Ovis aries: one gene and its partners. The protein of the gene in region 4 purifies or fractionates together with the protein of the main gene of each other region. This does not show direct contact. Links are inferred from orthologs where the notes say so. Each region holds a gene or a part of one and is shown on either strand. Other genes may lie near its edges. The genes, in order: GAB1, PLXNB1, LGALS1 and MET.

The links.
Region 1: the proteins of MET (region 4) and GAB1 purify together in Homo sapiens (affinity purification with western blotting; 3 studies listed by BioGRID and IntAct, with this or other methods). This does not show direct contact. The link is inferred for Ovis aries from reciprocal best matches to the Homo sapiens genes MET and GAB1.
Region 2: the proteins of MET (region 4) and PLXNB1 purify together in Homo sapiens (co-immunoprecipitation; 3 studies listed by IntAct). This does not show direct contact. The link is inferred for Ovis aries from reciprocal best matches to the Homo sapiens genes MET and PLXNB1.
Region 3: the proteins of MET (region 4) and LGALS1 purify together in Homo sapiens (affinity purification with mass spectrometry; 3 studies listed by BioGRID and IntAct, with this or other methods). This does not show direct contact. The link is inferred for Ovis aries from reciprocal best matches to the Homo sapiens genes MET and LGALS1.

What each region holds. Positions count from the first base shown.
Region 1 is NC_056070.1:14,613,885-14,619,543, forward strand, and holds the start of GAB1 (GRB2-associated-binding protein 1), read right to left. Parts: upstream 3,656-5,659; 5' UTR 3,320-3,655; coding exon 3,248-3,319; intron 1-3,247. UniProt on the Homo sapiens protein: Adapter protein that plays a role in intracellular signaling cascades triggered by activated receptor-type kinases. Plays a role in FGFR1 signaling. Probably involved in signaling by the epidermal growth factor receptor (EGFR) and the insulin receptor (INSR).
Region 2 is NC_056072.1:51,461,126-51,467,088, forward strand, and holds the start of PLXNB1 (plexin-B1), read left to right. Parts: upstream 1-2,443; 5' UTR 2,444-2,514; exon of another isoform or gene 2,515-2,562; intron 2,563-3,122; exon of another isoform or gene 3,123-3,209; intron 3,210-3,229; exon of another isoform or gene 3,230-3,368; intron 3,369-5,963. Other genes in the region: CCDC51 (mitochondrial potassium channel), read left to right, coding at 1-67. UniProt on the Homo sapiens protein: Receptor for SEMA4D. Plays a role in GABAergic synapse development. Mediates SEMA4A- and SEMA4D-dependent inhibitory synapse development. Plays a role in RHOA activation and subsequent changes of the actin cytoskeleton.
Region 3 is NC_056056.1:215,341,542-215,347,418, forward strand, and holds LGALS1 (galectin-1), read left to right. Parts: upstream 1-2,250; 5' UTR 2,251-2,316; coding exon 2,317-2,325; intron 2,326-3,621; coding exon of another isoform or gene 3,622-3,624; coding exon 3,625-3,704; intron 3,705-4,785; coding exon 4,786-4,957; intron 4,958-5,294; coding exon 5,295-5,441; 3' UTR 5,442-5,497; downstream 5,498-5,877. UniProt on the Homo sapiens protein: Lectin that binds beta-galactoside and a wide array of complex carbohydrates. Plays a role in regulating apoptosis, cell proliferation and cell differentiation. Inhibits CD45 protein phosphatase activity and therefore the dephosphorylation of Lyn kinase.
Region 4 is NC_056057.1:53,127,021-53,132,193, reverse strand, and holds part of MET (hepatocyte growth factor receptor precursor), read left to right. Parts: intron 1-96; coding exon 97-233; intron 234-863; coding exon 864-1,025; intron 1,026-1,983; coding exon 1,984-2,083; intron 2,084-5,173. UniProt on the Homo sapiens protein: Receptor tyrosine kinase that transduces signals from the extracellular matrix into the cytoplasm by binding to hepatocyte growth factor/HGF ligand. Regulates many physiological processes including proliferation, scattering, morphogenesis and survival.

The DNA of each region.
Region 1 (5,659 bases), on a different chromosome or scaffold from region 4:
ACTGGGGAGCTGCCCCAACACTCTTCAAGAAGAGAAAGCCCCTGCAGCAGCGAAGACCCAGCAAGGCCCAAAATACACAAACCAATACAATTATTTTTATCACATAGCCGGAGAATCTGCTCACTAGTCTTTTTCTTACTATCTTTTATGCTACTGTCACACTGTTTAGGAAATTCAAGAAAAACTTCCATAGCAGATGGACATACTAATATGTAAAAACAATGCTGCTGACTAATAAAAATTAAAAAAGCAAACATAAAATGGAGTTGTAAGTAGAATGCATTGGGGCCATAACTTGAGATGACTTTGGAGATAAAACTAAAACAATATTTTGTCACTTAAAAGCCCTGATGGATTCTCTTAATCAATGCTTGAACTACTCTTATAAATATTGGAAAACAGTGAGACAACTATCAAAGTCCTCTGGGCCAAGTGTTCCCCCCCCTCCAAATCAATGCCCAAAAACTCCCTGAAGTCTCCCTTAGCAATTATGGTACCAGGAAGTCAAGATATCTTATCACAGAGAATTTGTTCATTCAAAACCATTATCAAGCAACATTTTGCCTATTGGGTGGTCAACAATGTTTCCTTTCATCCAGAAAATAAAGATTTTACATGAAAACCAAACTCAGCAGAGGAGATGCATGTATATATATATGCCATATCTTTGAGGGGTAAAGATGTATTAGCCAAAACTATCTATATTGAATATCAGGCCAAACAGCAATCATCTGGAAACGTGAGAATCTTCTGGGCAATCACCTTGACAGTGCAAATTAAGACAAGCCTCAATTTAGCTTATAAGACTCCAGTAACTCTCTTGGACCCCTCAATTTTGGCAGCCACCCTCCCCATAGTCTTCCTGGGCTGTATCCATGGACTGATTAGTGTGGAAAGAAAACCCTAGTGTCCTGCCTCTCTCAGCTGTTAGGTATATTCAGCCCTCAGTCGACAACAATTGAGGGAGCCCACTGTTCCTCTGACGTATCCTATGATTTCCGTCTACATGAGCCTGTTCCTGAAAACATCTATGAAATGGCCATAGGGCTCAACTTGGGCACACAATTAGAAAGCACGTGGAGTTGCTGGCTTCCTTTTCTTTTTTTTAAATTAATTAATTTATTTTAATTGGAGGCTAATTACTTTACAATATTGTGGTGGTTTTTGCCACACATTGACATGGATATGGCTTCCTTTTCTACATATGCTTGTCCTGTGTTTCTTCAGCACTGCACCTCTGATCCACAGTCCACTCTTCCTTGCGTGTTATATCCACGGACTCACAGAAAGTCATAAACCTGAAAGGTCCTATCCACATGACCCAGCCTCAGCACAGCTTAAACTTGATAAGAGGCGTTCACCTTTTAAAGACCAGGCAGGCAGGCAGGCAGATCTGGGTTCAAATCCTGCTTCTGGCACACTCTGGTTCCGTAGATTGTGTTCTCATTTAAGACAGATAATAACTGCCTCATAAAACTGTTGTAATGATCAGATGAAATATTAAAATTCTTAAATTGAGAATTTCTATTTTCTTGGTCCAGTTAAGATGTAATTGTTTGGGCTGATTTTTTGTAGTACATTAAATTGCAAGCCCAAGAGACAAGGCTTTTTTTCCTGCTGGGTTTTTTTTTTTGTTTTTGTTTTTTTTTAATTTTATGGTCCCTAGTCTAGCGTGTGGCATCTTTTGAGAGAGCCATAAACCAAACATGTGAAAGAAAGCATTAAATCTCTATTACCACTACCTATTCCAGCCAATGTAGTGTTCTTTAGTTTCCCCAAGAATCAATCATTTCCTAAACAGTACCTTCTCAAAACAAATACATCAAACCACACCCTCTCCCCACATACATACACACAGAACTCCCAACTGAAAAACACACTGCCTCTCACCCCAACTTTTAGAATAAAGTCACCATATTTACCAGAATACTTGGGCAAACTGTGATAGATGGAGAGAGGGAATTTGGAAGAATTTTAAAAATCTCTGAAGAACATCCCTAGGATTTGTGGCATCAAATCCTTAAAGGAGAACTACTTGCCTATAGCAAATTCTGGCAGCAAGTAAACCAGAAACTCACTGGTGAGTTGTGGGCTAAGTTAAATATTGCACTTCACTCCGTTCTATGCAAGCAAACTGACTAACAGGGTTACCTCGAGCTCTCGCATTGGGTGTAGACATCCTTTCACAAGAAACAGGGTCCATTATTACTCTCCCCGTTAGCAAATTTATATTTAAGGGGGCACATACTGTGCTTTCGAGACATACTTTACTAGACAAATATTTGCTCCATAAGCGAGGGCAAAGGTGTCATTTCTTTCCTTTGCTGTGGGCAGCGACAGAAGAATCAATGGGGGAGAAGGGGATAAGATCCCAGACTCCCCAAAGAGGACACAGACTTCCGCTGCAGTAACGTTGGTTCTTTCAAGGAATACTTCCCCTAACGGCTAAAACGGCTTAACACATAATCAGCATCTTGTATCAATTACACAAATACCACGAAGCAACTGTGGTGGCCTGGGAAAGGACCATAACACACAGAACTCCTAACTGGCCTTCGCTGTCCCCTCCCACAGGGTTTGACAGCGTGTCCAAGGCGCCCGAACACCAGCCATCAGGCTCCCCCCAGCGCCCTCCTCTCGCAGCAAACTGCCAAGGCTCTCGGGCCAAACTCCAACGTCCCTCGATTCAAAACCGAGAAAGTGTGAACCCCGCTAAGCAAACGGTAGGGCGCGTAATAACTTTTTTTTTTCTTTTCCGTGGAGCGGATTGGAGATGCTCGGCTCTAACGCCAACTTCCCAGGTCTCCCGTCCGCTTTCCGAAACCATCCCGTGGGGAAGGCGGGAGGGAGGGCGGTCCAAAGAGAGGGCTGGTGAGTTTTAATACCTCCGTGGTTTTCTCAGTGCGGGAAATTTACTACACAGCAGCCCCTGAGAATTCGGTGCAGGTCTAACGAAAGGAAAATGCTCTCCCCCTCAACCCCTGCTAAAAGGAACAATAAAAAACACTCAGCAGGCGCTCAGCTGGCCATACCAGGCCTTCCTAAGGGCCGATGGAGAAAGAAATTTCTCCAGTCTGCAATCTGGAGAAAGAAAGATGCCTGGCCAAGCGGAGGCCCGGGCATGAGTGTCCAGCCTGGGTCCCCAGCCTGGCAGGGAAGGGGCCTACAGGGAAGGGATGGGGACTAAAGAGGAGCAGTCGGCACGCGAGCCGCCCAGGGAGGGTAACGGGGGCCGAGCTCTACTTACATAACGCTTTAACTTTTTCTCCGGGGGGGACTTGCGGAGCCATCCCGAGCAGACCACTTCGCCGCCGCTCATGGTGCGAGCCTTTAGGGCTGCGGGCCCGGCGCGCTCCCGACACCTTCGACGCCGGACGCCCGTGCAGCTGCTGGGACCTCGCTCTCCCGCGGCGCACCCCAGGCGGACGGGGCGGGCCGGCTCCGCGGCGCTCTGGCTCTTGGCGTTCGAGTTTCTTCCCCGCAGGCAGGTCCGCGGACGTGAGTAGAAGCGGGCACAGCCGCCGAGGCCGACACCTCGGGGCAGGGGCCGCGGCCGGGCCGAAGATGCCCAGGCCTTCCTTCAGTGCACCCGCCCGGCCGCCAGGCGCGCCGTCCCGCCGGCCGCCTCCTCTGCGCTCGGGCTCCACGGGACTCTGCCCCGGCGCGGAGCCCGAGCCTCGGCCCCCTGCGCTCCGCCCCTTCGGGATGGGACCTCCCAGAGCGCACTCCGAGACAGACACGACGCTGCACGCGCGCACACACAGTCTCACACGCTCATACACACACAATGCCCCCGCGCAGTGCCCACTCCGACTGGCCAGCTCTAGGTTTTACTGCGCTTGGCGCTATCCCCTCCTTCCTCCTTCTGGAGAGAGGGTGGGTCACTTCCCCGAGGCGCCCGGACCGCCGCAAGGAATGGGAAAGCCGCGAGGGTCCCGTGGTCAGCGGGCGCAGGGTTGAGGGTTGGTCCCGGGCCACGGAGGGAGCCGCCGGCTCGGCGTCGCTGGACAGAGCGCAGGTCCCGCCGAAGGGTGGGTCCGTGCTGGCCGCCGCCGCAAGAGAGAGAAAGCAGAGGGCGGCAGAAGAAGGAGGCGCTGGGCTGCTTGGCTGCGGGGACCAAGCCTACCGTCCCGTCCCCTAGCGCTGCTCCTGCGCCGCCTCCCCCACCCCAGGGCGCGCGGCAGGTTCTGGGCGGCCCGGCCCCCGGCCCCGATCCCTCCCTCTCCCGGCCTCCCGGCTCCCTCTTCCTCTCTTTCCTCCTCCCCTTCCCACGTTCGGGCCGGCTCCGGTTTCTGCCCAGACTTTCTTTGAAACTCCGCCGGAGCGCTTCCAGCCAAAACAACAAGGGCCAGGGAGGAGGAGACGGGCGGAGGGAGGGAGCGAGCGAGGGAGGGCGCGGGAGTCCGAGAGGCACCCTGGGATCTGTAGTTCGGGACGCTGGAGAGGGGTCCTCGGCGCCCCCGGCGGCCGTGGATCCCGGAGCCCCCGGCGGGCTGGTCGCCAAGGAAGGCAGCGAAGCCTCGCCGAGGGTAACGCCGCGCCATCTCGGGTTCCCGGGCGACCGAGGAACATTCGAAGGTTCAAGTCTGTGGATTGCCATCTTGGCTCAGCCGAGTGTCAGTTCGGAGTTTGTTCTGTGCGGGAGATCGGGAGTTGGGGGCGGGGGAGAGGGGGGCGGGTACTTGACAGCGTGGAAAGCGAAACAGCCTGGAGGAAGACCGCGCGCCCTGGAGAGTCTGCGATCCCGGGGTTTCTGCCCGCAAGACTGAAAGGCGGAGACCAGGAGGGCGAGGTCGCTGGGAGCGCGCCAAGGCGACCAGCCTGCAGGGGAGGTCAGAAGGGGACCCTTCCGGACTGATGTGTGCTGGTCCCCGGAGCAGCCTTGCCTGAGTGGTGGGAGCGCTTAGTGGACCCAAAGGATTCAGTTGAATCTATCTCTGGGGACATTTTGAAGCCTTACACTCCCTCCGTTTGTTGCCAGTTTCTTCCACTTGCCTTGGCTTTTATTTAAAATCAACTCTTGGGGTGTTGGACCAGAAAAGGGAACCTTCACTGGATGTCCTAATGCTATTTGTTTTCTTTTGTGTGTTTTACAATGACTATGATACCTGGCCCTGAGATTAACACGATCCTGTAAGAGAAATATCTTTTCCAATGTATTTATGAGAAACAAAGCCCCTAGACAGATTTTGGAACGTAGTGTAAATAATCAGATAAGAGTGCCAAACGTTTCTGGAAAAAATAACCTCAGGCTTGTTCTTGTTAATACAACATTCATATTCAGTTCCTCTCGAGTTTGAAAATGTTATACAATTGTAGTAGGAAATTAGGTGCTGGGGTGGTGACAAAGAAAGGTCCCTGCACTCAGAGCGGTGACATTTCTAGATAGTTAACAGGGTCAACGCAAGTACAGATTGTGATAAATGTGCCCTGGGAGAAACTGGAAGAATAATAAGGGTGGAACTAGGTCAGATACTAGGGGAGAAGTCTTCCTTAAAGAGGCAGCTAGCCAGAGATGTGAAAGATGTTGTAAAGATGTTGTCTTGTGAAAAGATCAAAGGGATAACCATAAGGAGGACTGAGAGAGAAAAAACAACCCAGGGGGCTCATTGTTTTTCTTAAATGTTAGAATACAAGTGAGTGTAATTTTTATGGCAGC
Region 2 (5,963 bases), on a different chromosome or scaffold from region 4:
GCTGGTCACCTGCGCGACGTTTGTGGCCGTCCTACCTGTGCTTTATATGCTGTTCAGGGCCAGCTAGCCCCCTGGACCCTCCTCCAGAGGGAGGGGGTATGGATGTGGATTTAGTAAGAGAATGAAGTAATGAAGTGGACTTCCGGGAGTGTGCTCAGCCTGAGTCTGACCTCACCGGCACACATCCTTTGCTTTTTACACTAATTGACATTAACTAGCAAATATTTCTTCTTGCCTGGAGAATCCCAGGGATGGGGGAGCCTGGTGGGCTGCTGTCTGTGGGGTTGCACAGAGTCGGAAACGACTGAAGCGACTTAGCAGCAGCAGCAAATATTTGTGCTCACGTCTTTCAATTAAAACGTCTTTCATTTTTCTTATTTAAAGTAATGTATGTGAGACTGAGTTTTGTCCATTGAACATTCAGATTTGGAACTCGAGGGTAGGGCCTGAAAGTAAGATAATCGCCCCCTATAGTTCCTCTCTCATCTCTTGATCCGGCCCTTGGTTCAAGACCATTTTTGATACACTGGTCCCCCCCTACCCCGCCCCAGGCCTTGATTTTCATTTTGGATTTCCTGGCCTGTCCTCCACTTGTCCAACCCACCTGTGTCGGATGGCCCATGATTTCCAGTAAATAAAACTTGGCTTGGTGGTGACCATGGTAACAGCCTGTTTTGGATCACTTGCTGTGCCATGTTGGAGAGAACTTCCTGGTTCTAACACTGGAGGATTGATCGGAGGAGAGCAGGAACAAGGATTGGGGGAATGGTTGGTAAATACTGCCGGGGACAGAATTACAGGGATTGGCGACCAATCTGGTTCCCTGCTGGAGTGCCACTTAGGCAGGGTGTCATCTCACACACAGCCTAGGGATGGCCTTTCCAGCCTTGGGCAGAGCTCAGCCCACCAGCAGTGTGAGCAGTGAGGCAGTGATGGGGAGGGACCTCTCAGAGGTGGGAGGTACAGTTGGGGGGCATGGAGGCGTACTGCACTGAGAACCCTTGACCTCTTCCTTCTCAGTGGAGAACAGCAGCCTTTGACCTCCTGGGTCAAATGGCCATGGGTGGCCTTGTGTGTCCTTGAGTAAACAGCAGCGAGGAGGTGCTCTGCTTGCACTGTGGGTCTGAAGAACCCACCCTCCTTTCAGGACCCAATGAGGTGGGTCAGCAGGTTGAGTAGAGCTGATGCACAGCAGAGGCATGTGGATGCAGAAATGCTTCCATGAGATCCCGCCCTTCTTGGGAGCCTGTGCTCAGCCCTGGCCAGTGGCCCCATGGGTACAGCGAACCTCCGATCGTCTGGTCACTCCATCCGTGGCCTTCTTTTCTTTTTGTAATGATTCCTTCGGAGGGTGTGGGATGAAATGACCTCTATACTTGGGATGTTCATCCTCCTGGTGGGGTAGGAGATACCATATCTGTCTATAGATGAGGGGTGTTGTGGGGTTTGGAAATCCTAGGTCCTAAACCTAGGTAGGTGAGGTGGGTCCTAAAGGGTGTGCACTTGAGTGAATGGGTCTGGGGAGGGGAGGGGTCCAGGTACTTGGAAGGGCCACCCAACACCCCCAACAAGCTGCACAGAAAGGCAAGGCAAAGGTGGCTGAGGGCCTTGGGGCACACCAGCTTGAATGAGGTGGTGATTGGTGTGGAGCATAAGTTTAGAGAATGACGTGGGGGACCCAGAAGGCAAGATAGCACCTGGGGTCTGTGAAATCCAGAGACAGAACTGGCACAGACAGGGTGCTGAACCCTGGACCCAGATATTGGAAGATTGGTTGGAGGTCCGGGGAGCAAGCCGAGGTGCTGGTGAGGGACAACTTGGAAGGCAGAGTCCTGTGAGAGTGAAGGCACACTGATGGGTGGAAGGTGGGAAGAGGGTGCCTGAAGTTTAGCTCTTTACACAGCAGCCAGTGTGGATGATGTAAACCTGATTGAGGTCCCCCTCAAGCCTTGCAGAGGCCCTGGGAGCTTTCAGGGTGTGTGACCAATTTTGCCTCCCAGGCGGCTGTCCCAGTGGCTGAGAGCCAAAACCCTGCGGAAGTCCTAATAGGATGGACCAAGTGCTGGCTCCTGAGTTTGCAGGGAGCCAAGCCTGAAGGGCCCTGCAGAGGGCACACCTGGGCCTCAGGAGAGAACCCAGGTGTGCCTTTGGAAGGGTGACGTATTTACCGGTGAGGGAGTCTAGACTTGCCCACGGCTTCTCAGCTTGGGGCGGGTCCAGGTACAGGTTTGGGAGGAAATGCGCCCTAGCTTGTGCACGTTTGCAGCGGTGGGCCCAACTCTCCCAGCCCGGCTAGGTGTGGCATCACCTCCACTTGACGGTGAGCAAACAAGCATGTGTGTTTAGGGGGCAGGGGTCAGGTTTCTTGGCTCAGTGATGGCGCAAACCCAGGCCCAACCCCAAAGCCAGCGCTCTTCCCGCACAGCCAGAGGTGGGGGCCGGAAGGAGAGCTTGGCCGTTTGAGAGTCCCAGGAGTAGGACCGGTGGGCAGAAACCAGGCGCCCCGGAGTTCAGGTAAAGAAAGTTGGAGGAGGATGGCCACAGGAGCCAGGTACTGGGCAGGTAAGAGGGAGCTCGGGGGCCCCGGAGAGCGGGGGAGGTGGTTGGCGGGGCAGGTGAGGGGCGTGAGTCCCACCGGGCGCTGGCAGGCAGGCAGGCGGAGGTCCGGGCGAAGCACCACCACACGTCGGGGTGCAGAGCGCGACCCCCAGCCCCCAGCCCCCGCCGTCCGGCCCCTCCCGTGCCGGAGGGCTCCCAATTTCGGCTCCAGCGAGGCGCGCAGGTGAGGCCCGGCGGGGACTGGGCCGGGTGGGGCAGCAGGTCCCGCGGCTCGGCTCTGCGCGCTCCTCCCGCCGCCATCCGCGTTGCCTTGGCAACCGCCGGGGTGCAGCCCTTCTCCCCTCCCCTGCCCCCACCGTCCGCCCCCTAGCGAGCGAGGGGTCGAGTCCCCCGCCCTCGGCAAGTGCAGAGCCGGGAGGGCTGGAATGCGGGGTCCCGGGCGGCTCGGGGCCGCGCGCCCGGCTCTCCCGGCTGCTTCCGGCCTGGCCTGGGCTGCGGGCGGGGGGAGGGCGGCCCGGCGGGCGCGGGGGGGGGGAAGGAGCGGAGCCGGGCCCGGCCGACGCGGCTTTGTCTCCTTTGTTCCCGGCGGTGGCAGCGCCGCTGCGGGCGGGGCGGGCGGCGGGCGCAGTTTTCCGCCCCTCGGTCTCCGGGTAACAGCTGCGACTCCGCCAGACCCACCTCCGGGAGGTGGCGGAGCGGGGGGGGGGTGGCGAGCAGGGGACGGGGGAGGCCGCCGCGCGCGCAGATCCCGAACCCGGAGCGGCCGGCGCCCGCCTCGGCGCGCTCGTCCCGCGGGGCCCGGCCGGGTGGTGAGTGCGGGGCCCGGGGCCGGGCGGTGGGGCCGGGGCGACGCGTCCCCGGGGTGGACGGGCCTGGAGCCGCGATGCCGCCGGGCCGACGCGGCCCGGGGTGAGTGGTGGGCGGCTTCAATCCTGAGAGTTGGGACCACACTTCTCCGCGCGAAGGGAAACTCTGTCGGCTCCGCCTGTAACGCGATTGGGAGACAGAGGAGGTGGAGCCGCTCCTCCGCGCCCCCTCCTCGCCGCCGCCGCCTCAGCCGGGGACCGGCCGGCCTCTTCCCCGCCCTCCCAGGACCACTGGGGGGGTCCTTGCCCTGGTCGGGGAGGAGGGAGGAGGGTCGGGGAAGAGCAACAGGGAGGTCCAGGCTTCCCCTCCGCAGTAACAGCCCTTCCAGGCGGTACTCGGCGCGACTGACAAAAGGCAGACTGGGATTCCCCCCGCCACGCACCCCCAGAGGGGGAGCCCCCCACCCCGCACCCAGACGGTGGGTGATTGATGAGCGCTCGTTGAGTCCTCACTGGTAAATGGTGCCCCCCACCCCGCCCCTACCCCGGCTCAACACAGACAACAGGGCAGGCACTCTCCACTCTGATGCTGTCAATGAGTAACTTCTGGGTGCACCCTGGGAGCCCAGCGAGAAGGCCATAAGGAAAGGCCGGTTTCACACCAATCCCGGCGACTCCGGTGAAGAGGGCTGGGATAGGAACATTCTCCCAGTTTCAAGGGCAGAGTTTATATGCCCTTTTGGTTGGCCAGGACAGCCCCAGGTCCAGGAGACTGGTTGTTCTTTGCAGGCAGAAGTTAGGCAGCCTTGGGTCCTGCTGAATCGGTCCAGAGTTGGGGGGCCCAGAAGAGCTAGGCTTTGACTGTAGTTGGGGCTTGAGATGTGGAGGGTGGAGGAGAGATCTTATTTGTATAAGTTGGGAACTGGAGGCCCAGCTCCAAAGCACCCTTTTCAGTCTGCTCTGGCCTAGTCATTAATAAAAGTGGGGCTGACAACTGTGTCCTTCGAGAAGCTGAGTGGCTTGGAGTGGGTTGTGGGTTCCGCATCTCCCCTGCTGGCTGAGTTTTATTGGCTGTGAAATGAGGGTTCTTTTTATCATTTGAGGAGCACCTGCTCCGTGCTAACGTCTGTCCCGCTTACTGGGGCCTCTGAATTAGAAGTCACATTCTTTGCCTTTAAGGAATTTCAGGATAGGAGCGTGGAACAGGGAGAAAAGTGGCCTTGGTTGGTGCCTCGCGTGCCAGGCACACACCACATCACGTTGAACGATCAGAGCAATCCTGCCTCCCATTCTCCAGATGGGAAATCTGAGGCTCAGAGACCCCAAGGCAGAGCTGCAATGTACACCAGGGTGGTGGCTGGGGATGCCCACCAGTCACACGCGGTGGGCTTCTCAGGAGCCTGGGGGACAGTGAGGGCTTCTCTGGGAGGTGATGGTTGGGTACCTCATGTAATAGGGAGTGAGCGTGGGGGAGTGTGATGAGCAGTCTGCAGTTCGGCCTGGCAGGAACGAAGAGCATGTGTGGGGGAGCCCTGGCAAGGATCCCGCAGGAGAGCGTGTGGACGGGAGGGCTTGACCTTTATCCTCCGGGCCCCGGGGGGTGCCTCCAAAGATGCTGGAGAGAGGGACATCCTCTGAGGTGGGAGGAGGTGCACTGGAGGGGCCAGAGGCTGTCTGTGACCAAGGTGAAGTGAAATATGTGACCGATAAGGAGAAAAATGTCACCACCCTTCTTTCCTTCCCACCCGTGGTATGTGGGGAAGGGCGAGGGTGGCTCGGCCCCGTGGCAGTGATTGAAGAAGGCTGACACTTTCCCCAGCGGGGGTCAGCCTCCAGCCTTCGATGTGACTTTGCCAGAAGCTGTTTGGGTCCTGCCCATTGGCTTCCTGTGGGCCACTCGACCCAGTTGTGATTTTACATGTAGGGAGTGCCTTGGTGGCTGCCCCTTGAGGGTTGGAGAACTCTGGCATGAAGTCCGCGCTGAGCAAATGTTTGTAATCGAATGGTGGGGCAGACCCTCTGCCCAAGGCGTGTCCCTGGGAGGGAGGCGGTGGGAGGGGCCGAGCAGTAGCTGAGTGTAGCAGCCGGCCTTTGCCCATCCTCAGGCAGACCCCATCTTCCTGGGGGAAGAAACTTTCCCCACTGTGCCTTGGATACAAGGTGGGGGGCTCCTGGGAAGCCTGGCCTTGCCATAGTCCTGGGCTTCTCGCCGGGTTCACGGCTCTCCCTGCCGCCCCCCTCCCCCTGCCCCCTCGGTGGCAAACAGTGGCTGCCTTGTTCCCGCTCCCATAGAGCTGTCCTGTTCTCTGCACACTAAAAATGGAAACCCCCAAGCTATTTTGGGAGCAGTGCCCAGCCAGGCTGTGGCCACAGCTCCTCGCTGGACCTTCCTGCAAGCCTTACGCCCAGCCCTGCTCCCTCTGGGCCAGCCTCAGGAGCACCCAGCTGGGGGGGGCCTCGGCTGGGAGGAGTCAACCTGGACCCTGGGAAGCTGTTGGAGGAGCACTGTGCACCGGCAGACTGGCAGCCGGGTGGCAGGAGGGGCCGGGCCATGTGGCCTGGACACAAACAAGCAGGGAGAACATCTCACAGCTTGGG
Region 3 (5,877 bases), on a different chromosome or scaffold from region 4:
CCATTTCGTCTCCCTACAAGTCCTCAGCAGGCCAAATGCCACAGAGGAGTAAAGCAGCCCTCATCCAACAACATACACTTCCTGGTGCCGAACCCCATCTTCCAGGATGGGGGAGGAAATGAAGGAGCAGCTCCTGAGGCCCCAAGAGCCCCAGCACTGGGGAGTAGCCAGCCAGGCCCACCTGATGGCTGTCACAGCAGGGACTGCATCTGAAGCATCTCTGGCTTTGGTCCAGGGCTCCTTCTGAAATACCCTCATTCCTTGTCCAGGCAGAGAGGGTGTCTGTGGGCCTCAGAGGGGAAGCACAGAGGAAAGGCAGTGGGCCTGGGCACCACCCACCCCTGCCTAATGTGGAGGTCTGGAGGGAGGCCCTCGAGGAAAAAGGGAAGCACTTTTGCTGGTTGGTTTCTGAGGCAGTTGGCTTGGTCTAGAAGGGGTGAGGGGCTCACAGGGGGGTGCCACCCAGCCTCTCTGGGCCTGCCTCTCAGCCCGCTGCCCTCCCCTCTCCTCCTGTGCCAATGTGGGCCTCCGTCTCTGGAGGAAGATGGGGGCTGGGGAGGCAGTGAGCTTGGGGCAGGGCCTCTAGATGTGAGTCACCCCTGGTCCACATCTTAGCTCTTCAGTGCTGGTAATTTCAGAAGGGGGACAGTGATGTGAAGGAGGGCCTGTTGGTACCTCTCTTAGCAAGCCCCCCACTCCACCCGCCCAGGGCTCCCCGTGCTCCTCTCTCTACTTGGTTTCTGAATGTGAGGTGAGCACCCCTTGAACCCACCCTCAAGTCTGTTGCTACAGTGGTTTTCCCTGCAGTCTAAATCTGGCCTCACTACTCAATCTTCATATAACTTTCTGTGGCCTACCCAGCACCCTCAGATCAAACAATACCCAAACCCCTCCGTGAGGCCCTTCATGATCCAGTACCATTGGCCGCCCAGCCTCATAACCCCATCTTTCCCTAGCACCCTCTAAACTCCAGCCATGCCCAGATGCTCACAGTTGCCCAGATGCTCACAGTTCCCCAGACGTGTGCTGTCTCATTTCTGTGCCCATGCTGGAATGCCAGTCCCTGCTTCTTCACCCATCCTTGAAGACTGACCTTCTAGGACTTCTCTGGCAGTCCAGAGGTTAAGACTCTGCCCTTCCACTGCAGTTGGCACGGGTTCAGTCCTTGGTCAGGGAACTAAGATCCCGCATGCCACGTGGGGTGGCCAAAAAAAGGAAAGACCCACATTCTTCCCATTCTGGACCACCCCACTACAGTGCTTTCTCATGACTTCTCCCAGAGCCAGCATCGTGCTACTTCCTAATTAGGTTCACAGTCAAATTCTGCCCCCAACAGAGAGCTACTTGAGAGCAGGGACTGAGGGCTTCATCTTTGAATCCTCTGAGGCCAGCTCAGGGCCAGGCACATAATAGGTGCTCGGTAAAATACCTGCTAAACGGATGGGGAAAAGAAGTTGTGCCTGGTGTCAGAGGGAGAAATGGAGGCGGGTGCACAGACCCGGGACCCCAACTTTTTATGGCCTGGCTCACCGTGGGCCTCCTTCCAGGCCTGACCCTCTTGGACAGGCCAGAAGCTGTTAGGCAGGGGCTCCTGGAGGATCCGCAGCAGGGCCCTCGGGAGGGCCAAAGCCTGCGGCCTGAGTCCCGAGTCTGGGCGGCAGCCTCAAGCCTGGCACCAGCCCAGCCTTTCTTTAGCGCTAGTGAAGAGCAGAGCAGCAGCCGCAATCCCTGTTTCCGGAGGAGGCAGGGCTTTGTGGTTAATGGGTCCTGGGCCCTCTGCAGAGGCGCCCAGAGTGGGCCACGCCCTGGCCCCTGCCAAGGAACAGAGCCTCTCGAACCCCAGATCTAATTCTCGAGGGACCCTGCACCCCTTCAGCTGTTTTCTCTGGGTATCCCCCCAGCTCAGCCAGCTAGCCCTGGCCCTCTTCTCGCTAACTCTTGGACCTAATTCATCCTCAAACTATTTTCCACTGGCTTCCCCCAATCCTTGCCACAGCACAATTTTGGGAAGGGGTAGGAGAATTGGGATGTGGACCCTGGACCTTGTGGGAGTGGCTAAGAAGGAATGACGGGGGAGGGGGGGTCTCCACTCCGATTGGTCATCTCTGCTTCAGAACTGGCTTCAAAATTCCATTAACTCCGCCTCCTGTGGCCCCCATCCCATTCCTGAGTTACAATTGGCTCAGCATCCAGGGGGCGGGACTCACCGGGGTCTGGTCCACTTAAAAGAGTGGGAGCGGCCCAAAGCCCATTTCTCCTGCAGAGTCTTCAGACAGCTGGTGCCGAAACTCCAGGAACATCCTTCTCTCTTCAATCATGGCTTGTGTGAGTATGCGGACCCCCCTACCCTAAGGCCCAGAGATGGTCTGGGGGCTCAGCTGGGGAGAGCTAGGGTAGATCAGGATCTGGGTTCTAGTTCCCGTGGTGCGGCCTTGAACAAGTGTCTTTTCTGGGCTTCAGTGGCCATGTCTGTAAAATGAGGGTAGGGCCACAGTCCCCCAAGGCCTTCTCTGGCTTAAGAAATTTCTGGATTCCTCCAGAGTCTGATAGCACAATTATTTCTGCCATGGTCTGACTTACTGCAGCTCTTTTGAGAAGTGGGAGTGGAAAGGGTGTGGCCGACTGGACATGGGGGCGGGGGGAGCATTTTCTTAGTGCCCAGGACACTCTCCCTTCCCCCTCCTCCACCCCATAGAAACTCCTCTCCCTTCCCCCCTGCAGCTGTCCCCAGTCCCTGGGCCAGGGCAGAGTCACCCTGTGCTCCAGAGAGCTCTGAAAAGTGGCCAGGATCTGAGCCACACTCCCTGGGGGTAGCCTGTATAGGTTAGCCCGCAGCAGTGGGTGATTCTGTCCAGATGGTCAGATGAAGGTTAGGGGAGAGTGCCCTACGACCCTTTCCTCCAGGCTAGGAGGGGTGTGTCTGTGTGATAAGGGATATCAAGGAGGAAGCTAGAATATTCTGCAGGCCCCGAGGGACAGGATTCAAGTTTTTGGCAGGAGGAACCACTCACACCAGTTAAGCTTTGCATTTGCATTTGTTAACCCTGAACCAGCCAGGGTGCAGGCTCCTACCCCGGGGCCCATTCTCCCTTCTTAGAGGGGTCTAACTGTGCTCCTTAGGGGACTCCTCTCCAGCCCCTGTCCCTCTCTGCACAGAGGGCCTTGAAGGGGATGGTGGACACCGCCCAGCTCCAGGCCTCTTCCTCTCCCTCTCCAGCAGATGTACAGACAGCCTCACTTGCCTTCCTTTGCCCCTAACTCGCAGAGACCATGTGGAGGTTGACTCTCTCCATCTATTCAGCGAGGCAGGCAATGGAGCAGGCTAGACATGGCATCTAAAATCCCCAGGCTAAACGGCAGAAACTTCTAGATCCTGTCTTCTTAGACTCTCAGTCCTGTTACAGACAAGAAATTGACCCAGCTGGGAGTAGGGACTTGCCCAGGACCACACAAAGATGGAGAGCCTAGAACTTGCAGCCGGGTTCCTCAGGCTTCAGGTCGGCCTGGTCAGAGCACCCTAAAAAGGGGACGACCCCACCCCTTAATCCCCACCCACCTCTCTAGACACCCCCCGCCCCCGCCATTGCGTCCTCTAACCCGGCTGGGCGGGGTCTCGTCTAGCAGGGTCTGGTCGCCAGCAACCTGAATCTCAAACCTGGGGAGTGCCTCAGAGTGCGGGGCGAGGTGGCCGCAGACGCCAAGAGGTGAGGGGTACGAGGGCTGGGGTGGCGGGCGGCAGGGGCGGGGGCTCAGCTCGAGGGAGGAGCCGGGCCCGCTGAGGGGCGTGGCTGGCTGGGTCCGGCCCCTCCCTCCGGCGGGGGCAGGTTTCAGGTCCGCGGCCGCTGAGGCAGTGTCTTCTGGATGAGTCACTTTCTCCGCGGGGTCTGGACGCCCCCACCATTGTCTCATCCTTAAACTGAACCAGCTGCGGCCTCGTCATCTACCTCGACTGGCCTTCCTCCCGCCCCTTTTGTGGGCGGGGCCTGAGGAGGCGGGGAGAAGGGAAGAAAGGGCGTCACCCTTGCTGCCCGCCTTCCGAGATCCGTTTTTTTTCTTTCACTTCTTCCTGAACTCATCATTCTTTCGGCCAGCTGGCCTAGTTTCTCCGGACTCTTGTGACCTTGCATCAGTCAACCCACCGCCTTGACCCTTATTTGTTAATCAGTTCATGGAGGGGGGAGGTTGCTGTGTGAAGGTGAAATGCTGGATCTCTCGGTGACGATGATGACCAGCTGACCGTATAAAAGAGCCGCAGGTTTCACGCGCACCACTTGTGCCATTCTTTCCAAACCCTCAGAGATAGGCATTGCTGTTAGCTCCACTCAGCAAATGTTCATGAGCCCCGCAGTTATTAAGCATCTACCTGCTGTGTGTCACGCTTCGTGCTGGGCACCAGGGCTACAGATAGACAAGACGGCCAGGACAGTTGCCCTCCCAGAGGACGCCATCTGGAGGGAGTCTCTGACCTTGATCAAAGGGGCTGGGACACACATTCATGTCTGCAAGAGTCCTGGCTGTCAGCATAGCAAGACCCTTAAGAGATGCTCTTTGTGCAGCCTCGGCTGTGTAGATATGGATACTGAGATCCAGAGAGGGGCAGGGACTTGCTCAGGGGCACAAAGCAAGGAGGAAGCAGGGACACAGCTAGAATCCAGGTTTCCTGCTTCTCAGCTCAGTGAGTTTCCCCAGCGAGGTGCATTCACACGGACTGGGGGGCACAGACTAGAGGGTCTGAGGGGGCTGTAGCCGGTGGAGGCAGCCTCAAGCCCACCTGTTACCCCCTAGCTTCTCGCTGAACCTGGGCAAAGATGACAACAATCTGTGCCTGCACTTCAACCCTCGTTTCGAAGCGCATGGGGACATCAACACCATCGTGTGTAACAGCAAGGACGGTGGGGCCTGGGGGGCTGAGCAGAGGGAATCTGCCTTCCCCTTCCAGCCTGGAAGTGTCGCGGAGGTGGGCTGGGGCCTGGGGGCGGCAGGGGATCAGGGCACTGGGTGGGCTGGGGCAGAGCTGGGTTGAGTGGCTAGAGACCTAGGTCCCAACCCTCCAACCCCGGTCCCCCTTCCTCTCCCTTCCCAGATCCCTGCCCTTCCCTCACTAGTTGTGTGATCCTCAGTGAGCAATATCCCCTTCTCCCAACCTCAGGGCCTCACCCATGAAGCAGGGCTGTTGTCAGGGCCGAGTGAGGAAAGGGCTCTGGGAGGGCCTAGGACCTGCATGCTGCAGCTGTGGCCGTGGAGTCAAGGGTCTCTGTGGGGTCCACATGCTCACTGCCCTTCTGCATCCCTAGGTATGCGTCTCCTTCAACGAGACAGACCTAACCATCAAGCTGCCTGATGGATACGAATTCAAGTTCCCCAACCGCCTCAACCTGGAGGCCATCAACTACCTGGCTGCAGGTGGTGACTTCAAGATCAAGTGTGTGGCCTTTGAGTGACATATGGGCCCCAGCCCATGGCCCCCAATAAAGGCAGCTGCCTGTGCTCCCCCTGATCCAGCCTCCTGTGTGTGTGGGTGTGGAAGAGGAGGGTTCCACCAACTCCCCCAAGCCCTGTCTCTGCCCTTTCCTTCACTTTCATTCACTACCTTGATGCATACCTTTTTGGGGGGTGGGGCTGTGCTATGTGGCTCGTGGAATCTGAGTTCCCTGACCAGGGATGGAACCCAGGCCCATGGCAGAGAAAGCATCTAACTGTTGGACCCGCCAGGGCACTCCCTTGATGTTATACCTCTTAAGTGGGCTTCCAACCCACTCCAGTATTCTTGCCCGGAAAATCCCGTGGACAGAGGAACCTGGCAGACTACAGTCCATAGGGTCGCAAAGACTGAAGTGCAGGCATTCCTCTTACGTGCCACTGACATCTTCTTCCCCT
Region 4 (5,173 bases):
CGTTTTCTCATGAACTAGGATATTTAATTATTACTTAATGTACTTAGAGTTATAAAATTAACAGGTTATTTTATTTTGTTTTTATCTCTCATTCAGGATCCTATAATAACAAGTATTTCTCCAAATTATGGTCCAAAAACTGGTGGCACTTTACTTACATTAACTGGAAAGCACCTAAACAGTGGAAATTCAAGACACATTTCAATTGGTGGAAAAACATGTACTTTAAAAAGGTGTTGTAGTTTGTCTTTTGTTTCATCAGTCAAGTTGGATTAATATTTGTACCTAACAAATCAAGAAAATATTGTTCTTTTGTGGCAAAAAGTCAAGAGGTTTATTATTTACTGTCCTTACCTTAAAAGACTTCTTCTTCCCAAATCCCTCTACTCCTTTTTGCTGTTTTTTCTTCCCTTCCCTTATGGTTTATTAATTCCACCTTCTTTATTGTTATACTGAGTATCCCACCTATGCTATAAGCTGTGAGGTTCAGTTAATTGACAATAAACATTTCCGTCAAGATTTACAATTAGATCAGATCACTTTGGGGTGGTGAGAGCCATGAGGGAGACTAGGTTAGAAAGTTATGTTTCTGCTTCTTAAGAGATGGGAAAGCTTAAATCAAGTACCAAAACTTTAAAAATTGCTTAAAATCCCAAATGTTTTTAAGTCAGGTAGCTTGCCTACAACAGAGCTAAGTCTGGGATCTAGTCAAATACAAACACCCTACATTAAAAAGAGCTTTTTTCCCCCTAGAAATTCCCATTTAGGTGCTATTGACTGATATCCTTTTTGACTTATGGATATAATTCTAACATATGTGTGTCTTTAATAACAAAGATCCATTTTCTTAATTTTTTGTTCAGTGTTTCATATAGTATTCTCGAATGTTATACCCCAGCCCAAAGTGCTCCAACTGAGTTTTCTGTTAAATTGAAAATTGACTTAGCCAACCGAGAGGTGAACAGCTTCATTTACCGGGAAGACCCCATTGTCTATGAAATACATCCCACCAAATCTTTTATTAGGTAAGTAAAAGTTTCTGATGGGTATAAGAAAGTAATAAACTTGAGAATGATTGGCTGTCAAATAGTCAAAAGGAAGATAGTTTTATCTCTGGATTTGATACTATTGCATTTCTTTTGAAGAATACCTTTCCAATTCAGGAGTGAAAACTACAGTCAGGTTCTGAGTACAATTTGACTTTATCAGTGCTAGTTCATGCCATTTTATCCTAGTCTAAATTTACTGAACATCATAGTATTTAAGCTGAACATCATAGTATTTAAGCACTTATATTGTGTACATTTTAACTCTTTACTAACCTTAGTGCCTAAGAGTGGAATCACCTTTTTCTGTCACTTTTACAGTGTATTTTTCCTTACCTAATTTACACACAACTTTTCCCTATACCAGTGTGTTAATCACTCAGTCATGTCCAACTGTTTGTGATCCCGTGGACTATAGCTTGCCAGGGTTCCTCTGTCCATGGAATTTTCCAAGCAAGAATACTGGATTGGGTTGCCATTCCCTTCTCTATGAGATATTCCTGACCCAGGGATCAAATCCAGGTCTCCCACGTTGCAGGCAGATTCTTTACTGTCTGAGCCAATACCAGACTCCCTCTAAATCATTATCTCACTGGACCCATTTCAGTCTGCCTTATTTCTGTTATTTCAATCAGTCTAGCGACAGTAGTTAAATTCATTTTTCTTTGTATTTTTTTCAGACAGGAAAAAATATTTCTTTTGTGTGTTTGGTGAATAAAAAGAGAAATTCATTCCTTCAGCTTGTGAAATAATGAATTTTTAAAATATTTTCGGGTGAAATAAGTTATTTCCAAAGAAAATTTACCACTGAACTTTCATTTGACTTCAATTTCGCTGTAACTTGTAGTTACTACATGTGATTTAATTTCATTTCTCTCTTAAAATACTTGATAGAGAAAGAACCTCTCATTGCTATTTTTCTATTTTATTTTGCCAGTGGTGGGAGTACAATAACAGGTGTTGGAAAAAACCTGAATTCAGTTAGTATCATAAGGATGGTAATAAATGTGCATGAAGCCGGAAAGAACTTTACAGTGGTAAGTCCTCTACATGATAGTTGTGCTTAGAACTCTGCATCTCTGCCTCTGCTGCCTGCTTTCAGGGTACCAGAGACATTTCAGTTTTGCCTTTAATGTCTGCTAGTTATCTTACCTGCAATGTAGTCAGTAGGATTTTTTTAATTCAGTGACTAAAAATATCTAGTCTCAGGCTAACAGAAAACACACTCACACATAATGTTTAGACACAAATAATGATTATCAACTTAAGGCAGTGTTTTTTAAAAAGTCAGTACAAATGCAAACTACATCATCCCTGTCTTAGTCTGTTCAGGGTTCTAAACAAAAATACCATAGACTGAGTGGCTTACATAGAAAACATTTATTTTTTCTCATAGTTCTCAAGGTTGCGAAGTCCAAGACCAGGGTGCCAGCAGATCTGGCTTTCTGGGGAGGGCCTGCTTCCTGGTTTGCAACTGATTATGTTCTCATTGTATCCTCACATGGAAGGGAAAGAAAGAGGAAGCAAGCTCTCTTGTGTCTCCTCTTATGAGGGCACTAATTCCATCATGAGAACTTCACTCTTATGACCTACTTACCTCCCAAAGGCCCCATCTCCAAATCCCATCATGTGAGGGATTAGGGTTCCAAATATGAATTTGAGGAGGATGCAAACATTCAAACCATAGCATTTCCCTATCCTCCTTTTTATAATGCCCCCTAGAACATCAACCTTTTTGGTCTAATAAAACCCCTGGGTAAAGCCTTTACTCTTGCCAAAGCATCCATGTCTTCCTAAGTGGTACGGTGTTTTCTTTCATATCCCTTCTTAACCATGCCTCTTGTCCTTTTGTTAGCATGTTATCAAATAATGAAAAAGAGCATTAAAATACTTATGTCCTAGAATGGGTATGATGTGTAACACTTCTTCACCTTTTTTCTTTAATTTGCAAGGTCCATCAGAATTTAACTGAATTCCTCCTTAAATTGACCTATTTTGTGCTCTGACAGTTTGGGGTCACATTGAAGTGGCAGTTTTACTTCAGACTTCAGGAAGTTTGGAGTTATTTATGAAGATTATATGTTTTGTTGTTTTTCTCTGATATAAAATATCCATAATCTAGTCAGACTACACACAACTTAGAATGAAAGTTCTAAGTGCCCCCTCTCAGGCAGGGTCTTGATTGGGGAGGTAATAGATTGAATTACAGCACTTCCTTTTAGATTCTCATCCAATATTTCTTGAAGGCTAAGGCCACAGTGTGCTTTAATTACAAAAACCAATTTCGGGCTAAAAATGTCAAGCCAAATCACCAAACAATAAGGTCATCTCAAATAAGATTTTTCTTGACCTTCTCAATCAGCCACATTGCATCACCTCTAAAGAGTATTATTAGATTTTTATAATATTCCTGAGAGATTATACTCTAGGGAGTCCCCATATGAAGTAGAGAGCTTTGAAACCAATCCCTGCACATGGCCACAAACAAAGTTAGAATACCACCACTATTAATTTAAAGGACATCAGTTCTCCACAACCAGGCATAGCAATTTTTCATTAACCAATAAAAATAACAATAACCCCCTTTGGTGTTGGCATGCAACTTTTTAAAGTAGAAGTCTGAGAAATTATTAGTTTATCTAATTCACACTGAGGTTACATTATTAAAATCATGACAGATTTCTTCCCTCTGCCTCACCAACATTATGATGACACATGACATCATTCGTTCATTTGTAATATGTAGTTTTTAAAAACCTCCTAGGTGTGACAAAGAAGATTGGAACAACAGTAGAAGATTAGAATCTTGTCCGTTTGCATATCTGGAAATGTAAACTTTGTTATTTTAGCCACAAAGATATTAAATAGAACAATGGATTCAATTTGGACAGGAATGAAAAATTCAGTGGGTCTATTTGACTATTGTTTGCAAAAAATCTCATAAAGAGACCCGTGTTCTTTCCATATTCCCTGCTTCTTGTAGAATCTGAAGCTGACCATGATGAATTGAAGCCATTCATTATTTAACAGATGAAAACTCTTGTTCAGGTCTGATTTAGATTTACTGATCCAGCCAGAGTAAATTTCCAGTCTAACAAATTCAAATCTTTTAAAATAAAAATATTGATCATCTTCTTAACAAAATGCATATTAATTTGTTATCATACATTATGCCCCAGAAGCCAGAAGTTTGTTAATTTTCAAGTTTCTTGTTACATAGAAAATTATTGTAATAGCAGTAAAGTTGTTCATTTCCGTTTTTCAAGACCATAGGATAGCTTTTAGCATTGTCATATGGATTTGATACAAAACTAAGTAATATTTTATACCAATTATGTCTGTATATAATTTTTCTTCATCTGCATATAGCACACATTTTTCAATATAGAACAATTTTTAAGTCATTTTTAAAAGAAAATATCAAATATCCAATTTTGTTTGTGCTTTTTCTGTATATCCTGAGTATTATTCTATTGTGGACATAAGTAATTGTTTTATCTCCAACTCTACTTGTCAAAGAAAAGGAAATCTAAGGGATGTTGTTGCTTGTTTGTCTTTTCCTTGGGGGGAAAAATGCAACCATTTAACCTTAAATGCACTACTTTGTGTTGCTGGTTTCATCTAAGCACAATCAAGAGGAAACCACATTTTCCAAACTTCTATAAATCAGAATTATAAAGGGGAAATTTTTTAATGAAAGATGAAAGGACATGAAATAATGATAGAGGAACCTTTGTAAAATAGAGAGGATAGGAAAAGTTTGACCAATGTGGAATACAGAGTGAACAAGAAACCACACAGCATGGGAGTCATGTGAATTTTAGAGCCAGTAGTCTAGGATTTATGTTCTTTACTTTGCTACTCAGAGCTTTGTGACCTGGTCTGATTATATCAGCTCAAAAAGCTCTAGCACCTACCTCATAGGACTATTGTGAGAATTAAATGATGCCAGCCTTGTGAAATATTTTGCACAGAACCTGGCACTCAGTAATTGATAGCTTAAAACACACTAATAAGATGATCTTACTACATAATTAATTATAGTGTGAACCATATGGTGCTTGGCAGTTGACAAAGCACTTTGCCTTGTAGTATTCCACACTGTGAATAACATTTTAATGTTAATT